2 linked regions of the Mytilus edulis genome follow. The protein of the gene in region 2 purifies or fractionates together with the protein of the main gene of each other region. This does not show direct contact. Links are inferred from orthologs where the notes say so. Each region holds a gene or a part of one and is shown on either strand. Other genes may lie near its edges.

Evidence for each region. Proteins that work in one complex are often made in the same cells at the same time.
Region 1: the proteins of glycogen synthase kinase-3 beta-like (region 2) and GSK3-beta interaction protein-like purify together in Drosophila melanogaster (affinity purification with mass spectrometry, with the first as the bait; 3 studies listed by BioGRID). This does not show direct contact. The link is inferred for Mytilus edulis from reciprocal best matches to the Drosophila melanogaster genes sgg and CG11523.

What each region holds. Positions count from the first base shown.
Region 1 is NC_092353.1:34,109,028-34,116,541, forward strand, and holds the start of GSK3-beta interaction protein-like, read left to right. Parts: upstream 1-4,494; 5' UTR 4,495-4,514; coding exon 4,515-4,697; intron 4,698-7,514.
Region 2 is NC_092348.1:72,216,443-72,224,279, forward strand, and holds the start of glycogen synthase kinase-3 beta-like, read right to left. Parts: upstream 3,013-7,837; 5' UTR 2,677-3,012; coding exon 2,592-2,676; intron 1-2,591.

The DNA of each region.
Region 1 (7,514 bases), on a different chromosome or scaffold from region 2:
TCAATTATACGTCTTTTAAAGCAATGTTGATAAAAATCCATCCATAAATGTCTTAAAAATATTATTTTTTTGAAAAAATATGTTTTTATATGAAATAAATGGCAAAAAAGTGCAGATGACGAATACGTTTGGCCGGGTACTGTATGCCAAACGGGTTTTTTTTTTAGTGATCCTTGATATGGAAATATATTTACGAGTTTGAAGAGAAAAACTGACGAGACTATATAATACAGTCTTGTCAAAAGGGAGTTGTCAATATCAATGCCAACTACAAAGGACAACTATGAGTTCTGTATCATATCAAATGCGAAAGAGATGAAGAAAGAGCAGCAGTAATATAGTGACGATTACCTATTAATATGAATTGGTAGAACGATAAAATGAAAACTGTGTCAGATATGACTGTCCTAAAACATAAAAAGTGGTCTCAATATAAAAATGCATGCTTTTTACTTCTAATAGAATTTTGAACGCAAAAACCATGTAAATAAACTCCTTACAGACGTTCTTGCGCATAAAACATAATATATACCACCCATTCCAGGGGCGGATTCAGCCTTTTAAAAAGGGGAGAGGTTCCTAACCAAGGACAAAAAAGGGGGGGTTTCAACTACATGTCCCCATTCAAATGCATTGATCGTCCAAAAAAGGGGGGTTCCAACCACTGCATTCTGTATACAAAGCTGGTATCATGACCTCAGTCATATCGTTAAGTCTCTTCATTTGCTGTTCACCACCAATTTATATTGATATTGTTAAAACTTTTACTTTTCATGCCAGATATTACACACCGTCATATGGTTAGCCAGTTGCGTAGTGTAATGGTTGGTAATACTTAGAAATAAGTATGTCTTCAACACATATGCATGGTAGATTTCCACAAGCTATGGTGTTTGTTTACAAATCGATATTAATGAACATCCGTAAAAAGGTAAAGAATGTCCATTATGGTGTTCTTTAGCAGACAAGGTGAGAAAAGAAACTGAATCAATCACTTATTACAACACACAATATTTCAGTGTTCCGTAAATATTTACGCTGTAACTTTGGAAAGATCTTTCGTAAGATTAAAATTATAACGACTTTGACCCTAACACTCCGACCAGATAAATAATCTGAATTCAAATAATTAAATGAGTAATAGTTATTTAAAGAATAGTCCCTCATAATTACCATGTGATTACCTCTTGAATTATTTTATTTTTCATTTTGACCTCGAGCATCACTGAAAAGACATTGATTGTCGAAATGAGAATATGGTGTATTTTAAAATTAGTACCGTTTATGGTCGATACCACTGGGTTGATACCTCTGCTTGTAGACTATTAGTCTCCGCACCGAGTCTATCATAAGTGGCGACAACTTCGGTACTGGTATAAAATTTGTAATTTGCTGTTACATACAATATATATAATTTTGAAAATCGTTTTTAATTGAGGTATTATATATCTGTAATAAATATATTTTATTCCTTATTCGGTTTTGGATTTATTATTGGTCCTCTTTGGTTATTATTACAAGACCTACCAATTGTATTTATTGTTAACTTGTTCTCGTCCTGAACATGCATGAAATATTTGCCACTGGACGTTTAGCAACCAACAATCAATCAATCTTTGGTTTTATCAGCTCTTCACGGTTTGTTTAAGGTTACGTTGGCTTTTCACATACATGTATTTTGTCTTTGAGTATCATTGAAGGAACATTGATTGTCGAAATGCACTACAATATGTATCTTTCCTTAATGTTAATAATTATAAATTAAACCATGACAATAAGAAATTTTACTGACGTGTTGCTCAGTTTATTTTCTATGGTGCGTATCAATTTATAGGCATTTGTTTTTCTTTTGTTCGATTTCATTTTTTGCCAAGGCATTGTCAGTTTGATTTTGAATTTGAAAGTCTTTCAGTATTTTAGTTATTTTAATTTTTGGTATCTTTCGTCTCTCTAAAAGTATTTAAAACAGTAATGCTTAAATAACTAATTTTACCTCTGTTTTTGAATTACCACCTACCAGTAGTTTTTGTTGCCTAGTATACACAGGCAAAATTTTGCTAAAGTGAATTTCACATGAATATCATATGAAGTTCAACTCAAACGAGCTCAAGTTAAACATTAAGCTCACGTGAAGACTTTCATGTGAATTTCACGTGAATTGAATCACGTAAATTGTTCACGTTTAAAATTTAAGGCGAACTTTTAAAAAAATTGGTATTTTCCATGATTTTAATTACATTTGAAAATTTAGATGCTATTTTCCATGATTTTAATTACATTTGAAAATTTAGATGCTATGTTCCATGATTTTGAATACATTTGAAAATTTAGATGCTATTTTCCATGATTTTGATTACATTTGAAAATTTAGAAGCTATTTACCCTAACTTAATTTAAAAAAAAAAATACGTGAATTTCACATAAAAGAAATTCTCGTGATTTTCAAGTTAATTTCCCGTGAGTTTCACATGTCATGATGAGATTCACGTATAAGCTCGATTGAGGTGAAACTCACGTGAATTTCAAGCGAGGTTTACATGCATTTAAATTCTCTCGTTATCATCATACTGCACGATACCTAATATATAAAGAAATAGAGAGAGTACTCTGTAGAGTATGTGCATGTGATAAGGTTACAATCTCGTAATCGTCAAATTGCTGGTTTACAAATGGTGATTTCCATTGTCATTGGTTTTTCAATATCCATATTTGATATATTTCCAAGTAACAGTTTTGCGCCAATAACATCAAGCAATTCTTATAAAAACGGATTTGTTATATAAGAATTGGGAAATGTTGTATAATTGCAATTATACTATTATTTAACAAATTCCAAAACGATAATAAATTTTTCTCATTCCGGTTAGACTTGAATACAATATCCACTGCTCGGTGAATCAACTCAGTTGGCCCAACATAAGCCGGCTTAATTCACCTTTCTCTAAAAATCTTTTATTTTCTTTGTACAGTTAGACGGCAGCTGAGAGACATAAACAGACTACATATAGATGTTTTAATAGATAGTTAGATCAGAGAATTATTGTTGTATTATATGTCGCTGGTTAGATTCAGTGTCTATTAAAGTGGTTTTTTTTAGGCACTGGCTACGGTTACATGGAAATGTAACAATAATAAAAATATTATTGTTACATTGGAGACTAATTGCCGGAATGCAAAGTTGGGTGAGGAACCGATTAATTACGAATGTAACAATAATTACTGAGGCTACGGTTAGATTACGTTATTGTTACATGAAAAACAGCAATGTACGCTAGATTTATTAAACTTAAATCTTCTGTAGTTGTTTTGCTTAATTCTTTCATATGTACTAAACAATACTTGTAATACTGATAAATAATAAATATTATTATTCAACAATCAAATGGTGTATAACCTGAATATATTTACGTATTAATGGTTTTGATGTTCTTAATGATACTACTCAAGATTATGAGTGTCAAAGGCGAAACATATAGTTCAATGGTTTCACTTTTTAAAAGTATTTAACTGCACACCTACTCTTATTACTGTCAATTATACTTTAAACCATTTTGTTAGGGTGAAAAACTTTTAAAAATGGGATGCGTTTTAAACCGGCGAAACTTAAACAAAATCAAGACATAAATTTCATACAGCTATACAACTTGACCCAAATTGATACATCAAAAGAAAAGTTTGCTAACTGTAACTTAAATACTAAGAACTTCTGTATGTACACGTAACCGTAGAGGACGTAATTTCGTTCATCGAAAATGTGTCGGACTTTAAAAACCACTTACTTGATTTGTAGAAAGTGTCAGTGTAAATAAAAAATTACAGTAAATAAATTGTATGTAATAAATGTATGTATTGTAAATATAAAATAAATGTCTTCATTTTTATTATTTAGTACATATTACTAGTCCCATCGTACAGCTGTTTTTCATGTAACAATAGCGCTATGTAACCGTAGCCTCAATAATTATTGTTACATTCGTAATTAAACAGATCCTTACCCAACCATGCATTCCGGCATTTAGTCTCCAATGTAACAATAATATCTTTATTATTGTTACATTTCCATGTAACCGTAGCCAGTGCCTTTTTTTTAACGTGCTGCTATAAATTGATTTTTGACTTCAGTGGCGGATCCAGGGGGGGCGGGGGTTTCCGGGGGTGCGCACCCCCCCTTTATTTTTGCCGATCAATGCATTTGTATCGGGACATATGTTTTGCACCCCCCCCCCCCCTTTGCCCTGGGTGCCCTGGGTTAGCACCCCCCCCCCCCCACCCCCCCCCCCCCCTTTTGAAAATTCCTGCATCCGCCCCTGGACTTGGCCTCACTTGGGACTATTCATAGGTCTTATATGCATTCTAATTATTGAATCAACTTTAATTATTAACAAATTGCATGATAAACACAAACAACATTCTGTTTTAGACAAGTACAATTTACTGAGAAAAATTAAGTATGGAAAATAAAATTATTATCTCCCTTTTGGTATTTAGAGTAATAGAGTTATCTCCCATTTGTAATGGATCAAGATGAACATACACTTCGTATAGAAGCAGAAGAAGTTGTTAAAGAAGTGGCATACGCTGTGAAGTTTGTTATAATATCTCCCAATTTACCAAGCACCAATGAACTAGTATATCTTAATTTGGAAACGAAGGAAAATGAAGAATTCTGCGTGGAACTGTCAGTTCGTGGATTCAGGGTAAGCAGACAGGGGAAATAGATAGATAGTCATTAGTTGTAAGAGTGATGAGTAATTCTCTAAATTATAAAGTAAAATTAATTTTTGACAACGCTGTAAAACGTTCTGTATGTTGACATGTTGTCAAATCGTAGGAGAATATGTGGAGCTACAAGTACAATGTAACTAGCATGCAAGGTTTGATGATTTTGTTGTTTTGTTGGAAAAAAGGGGGAGGTGCTCATAATGAATGTCAAAAAGGGGGAGGGGTTACTGAAATAAAAAAAGTTTTGAAAAGAAGTCAGTGGTAAAAACAGGTCACAGGACTATTTCCTGGAAATTTCACTACTTTAAAAAAAAACCAGGAACGTATATACTGTTCCCAGAGAAAACAAAATAATGTCAAATTTGAAATATATATATATATATATATATATATATTTATTTTGTTAGATTGTTGTTATTTAGTTTTGATTTTATTTACCATCTTCACTCTTTATTAGAAGTCCTACGATCCCTTTTGTATAATTGCTGTCAGGCTTGTAAAATTCTTTTCGTCAAGCCAACAGAATCAACTAAAATTTTCAGAATTTTAATAGCTTTGGGCTTCATGTGAACTCAAAAGTTTAGCGTGAAGTCACCAGAGACATGATATTATACAATATTTGTGTTTATTGCAATTGAATAAATTTTCAAAGGTTACTTACAAATGCATTCCATGTTAATGTCAAGTTTTCTAAAGAATTCATTAAATGTTTATTTAAGAATTGAATGCTTCTTTTTGTAACTTCAATGGGGTGTAAAAGCGTTGACCAAAGTACATTTTGTCATTCTAAAAATGTGCACACAGTCAACGCTTTTACACACCTATGAAGTTACAAAAAGAAGTATTCATACTTTATGGCTACATTTTTTTTAACGAGGATCATGAAAACACAATTTTTATCAAGTTTTTATTTAATTTATCTACAGGTACACTTTATTGTGGGACCTCGTGTCGTCAATGACTGATAAATTTTATTGTGTAATGAAGTTGATTAACGAATAATGCGTCTTGCAGTGTAGTCAATCAGAATAATGTTTTATAATGAAATATACATCTAATGTAGTTATTTACTTATTAACCATATGATAACTGGCTTCAATTTCCTTTCAATAAAAAAAAAGTAAATTATCAATCAATGCTCCGGGTGTGGGAATTTCTCGCTACATTGAAGACCTGTTGGTGACCTTCTGCTGTTGTTTTTTTCTATGGTCGGACTGTTGTCTCTTTGGCACATTCCCCATTTCCATTCTCAATTTTATTCATATAACTTTAAAAAAGAATGAGAGAGAACAAAAAATACCATCATACTTTAAAACATTTGTACAGAAATGAACATTTTTTCCTTAGTATCAGATATGTGACTTCTTTCCCTACATGTACATTTATCAAATGTGGGATAAATGTGCAACTTTTTATAGTGTGATTCTTTTTCAGTTAACTAAGAAAATTGTTACAGGTTACACTTAATAAGAAATATTGGTTATTCTTTGATGAAATTATTACAATATTCAATAGACATGTATGATATATAGATATGTAAAGGTGGTATGAATGCCAACGGGACAACTCTCAACCAGAGACCAAATGACATACATGTAGAACAACAGGTCAGCCATTTCATTGGCCAAATGATATTTATTTCATTTTTTGTATGACTATTTTCAAAATTTATGATTTATGATAGCATGTTGTTACTTATTGTTTATTTGTGTTGACATTTTACATTATGTTTGTTAACTTTAAAATGTCAAGCACATGTGCTAACTGTTACTTCATAATACATGTATCCAAAGGTCATGTGTGAGATTCAGCTAAAAATCAATGATGAATAAAAGCCTGGTCTAAAGTGACATTTGTAAATGTCATTTCATTAAATATATATATATTTTTTATTGATATATCTTAATTACAAAAAATGTGAAATCTAAAATATGTAGAACTTAACTCATTCATATGGCAGAGAAGAAAGGGGGAGCAACAACAAAATACAATACAAATAGTTTATTTATGTCTCACCATTAATATTACAATACATAACATAATACACGAATACATACAATAATATAAAATATTAATGCCATTCTAAAAAGAATTATGAGAGAGAGAGCATTGTCCATATCTATTTTTTTAAGGGATGGGAAGGTCAAAGCATGGTTTGTGAGGGATGTATTACCAATGTCATTTCAACTGATCGGGCGGAGCTTACATTTTAATTTGCATAAGGACAGTCTATTTGACATGTTTGAAGGACAGTCTATTTGAAGATGTGTGTGATTAGGATGATTGCTGTTATAATTAATACTGATTTCTAATCACCTATCAGTGCCATCAAAGGAATTTACAAAAGAATAACTGGACACTTCATTTATGAGTTTATCCTAAAACACCTATCTATCTGATGACAAGGAAAATATACCTACAATTAGCAATGTATCTTGTTCGCGCACGACGGACCAAAAAGCGCATTCCAGCAATGACGAAAACGAATTGATCATTCATGTACCCAAGAGCGTAAAGCGTTTGAAAGTTGTCTCTTTTGATGGCAAAGTTATGTCATTTGACATGTAAAATACATTTAATACAATCAATTTTCAAATTGTTAGCTTTAATCTTTTAAAACTATGTGTTTGTGAGACTCATGTTCTTTATTGAAAATCCTCAATAAATAGATGATTGAAGTTACATTATTATTATAATTGTATATTTAAAAGTTATAGATTAACTAATTGAAGATTCCTTGCAATTTGGTATGATTTTTAGGCATCTCCGCTAATCTTTTCTGTGAGGAATTC
Region 2 (7,837 bases):
TTTTTCTAGGGAAGAGTAGCATACACTTGTATGTTAATAAAAATAATGGCATCTTTAGATGCAGTTACAACTTTTCTTACAGTAATTCAAATTTTATCACTTTTCTTTAGTTATAGGAAACGGAGCCCAATAGCAAATTATGGTCCATATGTATCTCCCAATTGATACAATATTCCCAGGCTTGTTTTTCCTATGATGATTTCCTTGATAGAGGGTTGCTGTTACAGTAACTAGGAAGATATTAAACCAAGAGTTCCAAATGATGAAATTTAAATCATCCCTTCTTAAATTTTAAGGATGCCATCACGATTTGGTTGACCATTCTGGAATATCCGTTTCACAGATGATATTTGATGTTCCTTATGTGGAAACTGCAATCCTGTTCCATTTTCACGAAAGTGACCTATCAATTAGAATATTTACCGGGTTTGAAATAAAATGAGCAATATGACTGGTGCCACATGTTGAGCTGGATCTGTTTATCAATTGGAGCACCTGACGTCACTGAGATATTTATATATCTTTTTAAATGAGAAACCCTGAGTATGTGTAACTTACTAGTTTATGTATGTGCCCTTTTTTGCATACATGTAGGCAACGCGCAAGTGCCCTTTTGATAAATAAATTACCATGCCCTTATTAAGTTCTAGATAAAACAACATACATATTGTGCTGTAAAACAATTGAGTTAAATGTACTGGATATTTTTTTTGAGAAGCCTGTTATTTTGGGGATAAATTAACTCTAATGAAAAATTCCCGATGAAGAGAGCTGAGCAACTGTTGGTTGTGATCAGTGATGAACAACCCGGCAATTGTACATGTATATCACTTTTGAGGATCCAGAAAGAAGGTGCAATGGAAGGAAAACAATGTCATTGCCCCAGTCACCAAGAAGAACCATGTCAGCCTGATACCAGTTGCAAGACAAACATGTTCAGTCAAAATGGAAAAAAATTGACACAGGGCTTTCCCTTGAAATTGAAGTAGAAGGCTCAATTAAAATAATAGGCGACTGTAACATGCGTTCGGCGAAGCCGGACGCCCACCAAGCTCTTGGTGCCTTACGGCAGGGGGTCTGGGGTCCGCTCAAGGCCACCAGAAGCTCTGGCATAAATAGAGCAAAATCCTGCATTTTAGCAATCTCCTGGCATCTATTATCATCTTTCAAATGACCATTTTTTATGTATGAAATTAAAGAAAAAAAAAATCTCAAAGATATTTCATTTTTTTTATGTTATAGTTTTTTATTTTATTACCTTATGCTTAAAATTCATTTACTTTTAAAGGAGTTTTATTTTTATAATAATTTGGTTTGTTAGAAATCTTGATTGATTTATTTTGCATAACTACGTGCATTTGTAAACAAATGACCCACCTTTTCTCTATAAAGACTGTTACACGTATTTAAATCATACAATTATTTCTCAAATTGACAGAAAATTGATATATCCTCTGATTTTCGCTTTTTTGTATACTGTTCAATAAGTCGGGATACATAAATCATTTGGAAATGTTATTTATTTGTGGTCGAGTCGACAATATTCTACTTTCGTTTTTGACCTTGATTCTCTGAACACCACGTGGGTTTTGAAAAATGAACTTCAAAAGATACTGTTTTCCAGATTCTGAACAAATTGATCTACTGTATTTTCTTTAATTTGACTGCTATTATTCCATAACATAAGATTGTCATCCTATCTGATTGTCTTCACGTTTTATAAGCCAAAAAAAAAGCCAACGAGTTAATGACCATCGGAACGTCTCTATTGTTATCGTTCAATGACCACCGGAACGTCTCTCTTGTTATCTTTGAAAAGAAACGATGCATTCTGACTTTAAATAGACAGCCAATCAGTGACCTGAATTCATGTGAACTATATTTAGCCCAAGGTAAACACTGACTTCTCATCCTTGTTTATCGTGACCGCGACTTTGCGACAATACGTCTCTCGGCTGCTTGTAAACATTTGAAAAAGATATTTTTGTCTTTTTTAATTTATATTTTTGTCAGTGAAGTAGCCGGCACTTGAAACCAATGCAAACGGCGATTTCCGCCGGCTACCGGCTTAAATGAAAAGCCCTGATGACATCTTTTGGAGACATTTTTTTCATTCTACAATTTGTAGCAAGGATTGGATTCTTTTAGACAGTGAATAATTTTGTCCTTGTTTATCGCCCCCATGTAATCTTTTTCACACCTGTCTTATATTGACTTATTACAGCATGAAATAATTGTTTGACACAGCACTGATAGCTGCAAATTCTTTTATATTATACTTTTCATCTTGCAGCACATGTATATAGGTTATTATTGGGGTAGGTCAGTGCCTTGGATGCAATTTTTATATTGTGAATCACTTTTTCATATTATATCAGTTAGTCATGCGATGTGCAGTTGTTCAGACTTGGCTGTTGACAACGTGGTTTCAAACCAATGTGTATAATGAAAGGGAAATCGTATGGGTAAAATGTTAAATGCAGAAACTTAAATTTATGTAGCTGTAAATGGAAATCATTAGCAATTTCTTGGTCGCCATGTTGATTGTGTGATGACCCAATTCGGTACTGCAACTGATGGAGGATACCTACTTATTGTTCTCATTCCGCCGTAAGGTGCAGTCGATCCGGCTTTATTTCCTTCAGCAAAGGACGTTGTTCTGGGACGTCCACTCATGATCTAGAAGGATTAAAAGTCATTAAAACTGATATTCTTAGATGTAGCCTGTCAGTCACATCTCCCAAATGGCGCTCGTAAATATTCCAAGGAAATCAAGATAAACGAAGGTTTATATTCACTTTTAAGTCCAGTATTCACTTATTACATATGTCTTTTTCCATCAAAATTCAATGAAGAATATATGGGCACATTTAAATGAGTTAAAGGGTTCTATTTCCACTATTATTCAACCCGATTTGTTAATCGATAGCACAATGTTAATGCAAATTTGGTTTCCAATGGGTGATCTACAATGACGGGCGAGAACATGGCCGTGAATCTTCGTGATATCACGAGAATACAATTTTTAACCAATCACACACCAGAATTAGCTTGTTCGGCACTTTCCGTACTCGTAAAATATGCAACACGAGACAGTTGACGTATGACGTTAAAAGGAGGCACATTAAGGATAATTTTTTTTATTAGAACTAATTATTACTGAGAAAAGGTTTTATTTTTCTTGATTTTGCAACTTGATAATCAAATTTGAAATTGAAATACATATACAAATTCCATGTAGATGTTTCCCCCTCAAAATTTCGACCTCAACCTTATATTTCCCATCCTCAGTATATAACATTTAGAGGTTTAGTGGTGGACCACTTAAAAAAGGAGGGTCAGGGGTGAACACATCTTATTTTTTTTACGATCAATACTTTTGAATTGGGAAATAATGGTTGGAACCCCTTTTTGAACACGACTGGATGCCGCCCCTGAAGCAATCTGAGGTTGATGTACTTTTTTGGCATAAAAGTTGAAATTCTTTCGTGATTTTGCATTTTGTCTAATTTGGCATCTGTTGGTTTTACTTAGGCCAAACAAAATTATATTTGTCATTCCAGTTACCCTACCTACCCTACTTTTTAGTCTAAATAATAGCCTACCCTAAAGATTTATTTGTCATTTTTCATTAAACTCTATTTTGAAAAGTCACTCGTCGGAATGTTGCTCCCATAGACTCAATGTATAAAAAAAAACACCATAAAATAAAATAAAAATCCTTACCTACCTAACGAGGATCAACAGATTTAAGGCAAGTACGTATACCATCATGCAGGCCGAAAAGATTGGAAAACTCTTACTCACTCAAGCAAAGTTAGCTTTAGATGGAATTTGCTTTTATATTATTTTTGTGTCTCTTTTGACAATTATATTTACTTTTCATACTACTAGCAAATGCAGAATAAAGTCAGTCCAAGTACCAACACGTGAAATAATGGCAACATCATTTATATAGTGCTTATACCAATGTGGAACGTCTAACCTGCGTGTGACCTTAGACGACAGGGTCATGGATTCGAAATTTGTGACAAATGGTTTAGTTTAGTTTAAACAATATTTTATTCAAATAAATTGAATTGGATTGGACAACAGGCATAGCCTATGTAAGCCCTCTCCACAAAACAAGGTCAAATATATTGCATTCAAACAAAGCAACGCATACACAAACATAATGACAAAACAGAATTAAATTTTCAAAAATACCTCTTAGCTGACTGGAATGATGTTTCAAATAGTTTACTCGGATCAAAAGTATGACTATTTCAAGAATGCTTCAAATGTTAACTCAGAAAAATAAGAAAAAATAAATTATGGATGAAAAATGTTTTAATATTCTAGGTAATAAACTCCAATATTGATTTAGAGGTCTCACATTATATTAAATGGTCTCCAGTCAGCTATTTAAAATAATAAATTTAATAACTCATTTAAAAAAAAGACAAATGGTTTCTTATCAATTGCCAAGACATCAGAGGCGGATTAAGGGGGAGGGGCAGGGGGCTCCCCTTTTGGGAAAAAAATGGGTTGCTTATATAGGGAATCACTGAAGCGTGACTGGAGTGGCCCCCTCTTAGGCAGTCAGTGGGCCCCACTTATGAAAATTTCTGAATCCGCCACTGGACATAAGGGTATCGAGTATGGTGGTAACATCTATGAAAGGTGGAATTGTTTTAGTTGTGGCAACCCATTCAGACCGCAATTCATTAAAAAATGGAAAACAACACGTTTAATAATTTATTGCGTCCGAAGCGCTTTTCTGGATTTACCTTCATCAGGAACGCTCAAAGCCAAACATTTGAAATCCGAAGATGGATAAGTACCGAAAATCGTTGAAGAGCAATATGTCAAAAATACCTAAAATAAATAGCCAAATTCATCTAAAGCCAACTTTGCCTGAGGGAGTTGAAACCTTAGTTTTATAATAATTTCAAAATTCATTAAGTTTACAGCTCGACAGCTTAAAAAATATTATAACAGCTTTTACTCACTTCTAGAAACTTCACTGGACATCAGTACAGCACCCGAACAAGAAAATGAAAACTCAAACTAGAGGCTCTAAAGAGCCTGTGTCGCTCACCTTGGTCTATGTGCATATATACATAATAAACGAAGGACACAGATGGATTCAAGACAAAATTGTGTTTTGTTGATGGTGATGTGTTTGCAGGTCTTACTTTACTGAACATTCTTGCTAATTACAATTATCTCTATTTATAATGAACCTATGAATCTATCCCAGTAGTTAAAATATTTTGTAAAATTTACACATTTACAAAATTTATGAAAATTGTTAAAAAAAATTACTATAAAGGACAATAACTCTTTAAGGGATCAATTGACCATTTTGATTATGATGACTTCTTTGAAGGTCTCACTTTGCTGTACATTAGTGCTTTTTACAGTTTATCTCTATCTATAATAATATTCAAGATAATAACCAAAAAGGCAAAATTTCCTTAATTTAACCAATTCAAGGGCAGCAACCCAACAACGGGTTGTCCGATTCATCTGAAAATTTGAGGAAAGATAGATTTTGACCTGATAAGCGATTTACCTCTAACAGATATGCTCTAAATGCTTTGGTTTCAGAGATATATGCCAAAATCTACATTTTACCCCATATGTTCTATTTTTAGCCACGGCGGCCATCTTTGTTGGTTGGACGGGTCACCGGACATATTTTTAAACTAAATACCATAACGATGATTGTGGCCAAACTTGGTTAAATTTTGTCAAGTAGTTTCAGAGGAGAAGATTTCTGTAAAAGTTAACGACGACGGACGATTGACGCCAAGTGATGAGAAAAGCTCACTTGGCCAGGTGAGCTAAAAAACGAAACATCAGCTGCAAAACAAGCAAAAATCACAAACGTCAGATGTAATGATAATGAAAAAAATGGTTACAAATATTAACTACAAATCCCCCAGAGTATAACACCTACTTCTAGGATAGAAAGGAAAAAGTAAAAGGGCGTTACAGTCCTCATAGTTCTTAAGGGCATATGATACAGTTACAGGGGAGGTAATGACGTTGCTAACGTAAATTGTTATTTTCGCGACGTCAAACTATATATATGACTTATTGGGAAAAGATTCAGTTTTCGACTGATTTTTATCATTCAAACTTATTTAACTTGAAAACGAGTTCATTAGACCCCTTTTTTTAAATTCCATTTGGTTCGATTAAGCGAGAAGATTAGGTGTGCCAATTTTCATGAAAACGTAAATTTTTAGTGCATATTTTTTTTAATTTGATAAATAAACAGCAAAACATGATGTTTTTTTCTACATGAATATTTGATGAATATGAGTTATTTTTGAATAAAAAATGTATACATTTTTCGGATACTTATAAAATACAGAAATTACAAATTATTTAACAAAAAAAAACCAATTTGTGTTTATCTTTTAAAACATAAAAAGTTATGTCTTTCTTTCGAAAGAAAAAAACGGCCACAAATCCGAATTTTGTGCACATATACAAAATTACGACCTCATTTTACTCAAAAAGCAGCACATGAAGGTATATTTTTTATTAAATTTTTGATTTAATCAGGTAAAATTTAGTCTATATGTAAATTGTTATCAAAATGTAAATACGGGATCAAAACTGTATCGTATGCCCTTAAGTCCTTAAGCGCAGAAGGACGAGAACATTGCAAGGACTGGCTCAACATGATAGTGATATACCATGCATAGATTCATTGACATGGTCACACCATTACCATTAAACATCCCACTAAGAGAGTCTCTATGGTTTTTTTTTCAATTTGTGTTTATCTTTTAAAACATGAAAAGTTATGTCTTTCTTTCGAAAGGGAAAATACGGCCACAAATCCGAATTTTGAGCAAATATACACAATTACGACCTCATTTTACACAAAAAGTAGCACATGAAGGCATATTTTTATGCCCCACCTACGATAGTAGAGGGGCATTATGTTTTCTGGTCTGTGCGTTCGTTCGTTCGTTCATTAGTTCGTCCGTCCGTCTATCCGTTCGTCCCGCTTCAAGTTAAAGTTTTTGGTAAAGGTAGTTTTTAATGAAGTTAAAGTCCAATCAACTTGAAACTTAGTACACATGTTCCCCATGATATGATCTTTCTAATTTTAATGCCAATTTCACGGTCCACTGAACATTGAAAATGATAGTGGGAGTAGGGCATCCGTGTACTATGGACACATTCTTGTTTATTACATATTTGATTTAATCAGGTAAAATATAGTCTATATGGCAATTTGTATCAAAATGTAAATACGGGATCAAAACTGTATCGTATGCCCTTAAGTCCTTAAGCGCAGAGGGACGAGAACTTTGCAAGAACTGGCTCGACATGATAGTGATATACAATGCATAGATCCATTGACATGGTCACACCATTACCATTAAACATCCAACTAAGAGAGTCTCTATGATTTTGAAACAATTGCAAAAAGAGCTTCGCTAAATAATGTGAGCTCAACTGAATGGGGAACATGTTCTCACGAGCCCTTAATTAATTGTACCTTTTCTTCTTATTTCAATATTTGTGTTAATAGATGTATACTTAGGAATTTAAACTAACAGGATAAAATTGCATTAATTCTATGCCAAGGAACACAACAGGCAAACTAGCTTGTAATTGCTTTCAGGTATTTTAATGACAATTGATTAAATGCACTAATATCACATCCAACTATAGAAATAAAAGCACACTGAAACTTCTCATATCAATTATTTCTTCTAAGATTTTCAACTTCACATAGGGTTTAGGCAGCAACCATTTGATTTTCTGGGGGGGGGGGGGGGGGGGGCTATGGTTTTTTTTTGGAAAAAAAAGTTTGTTTCCAGGTTTT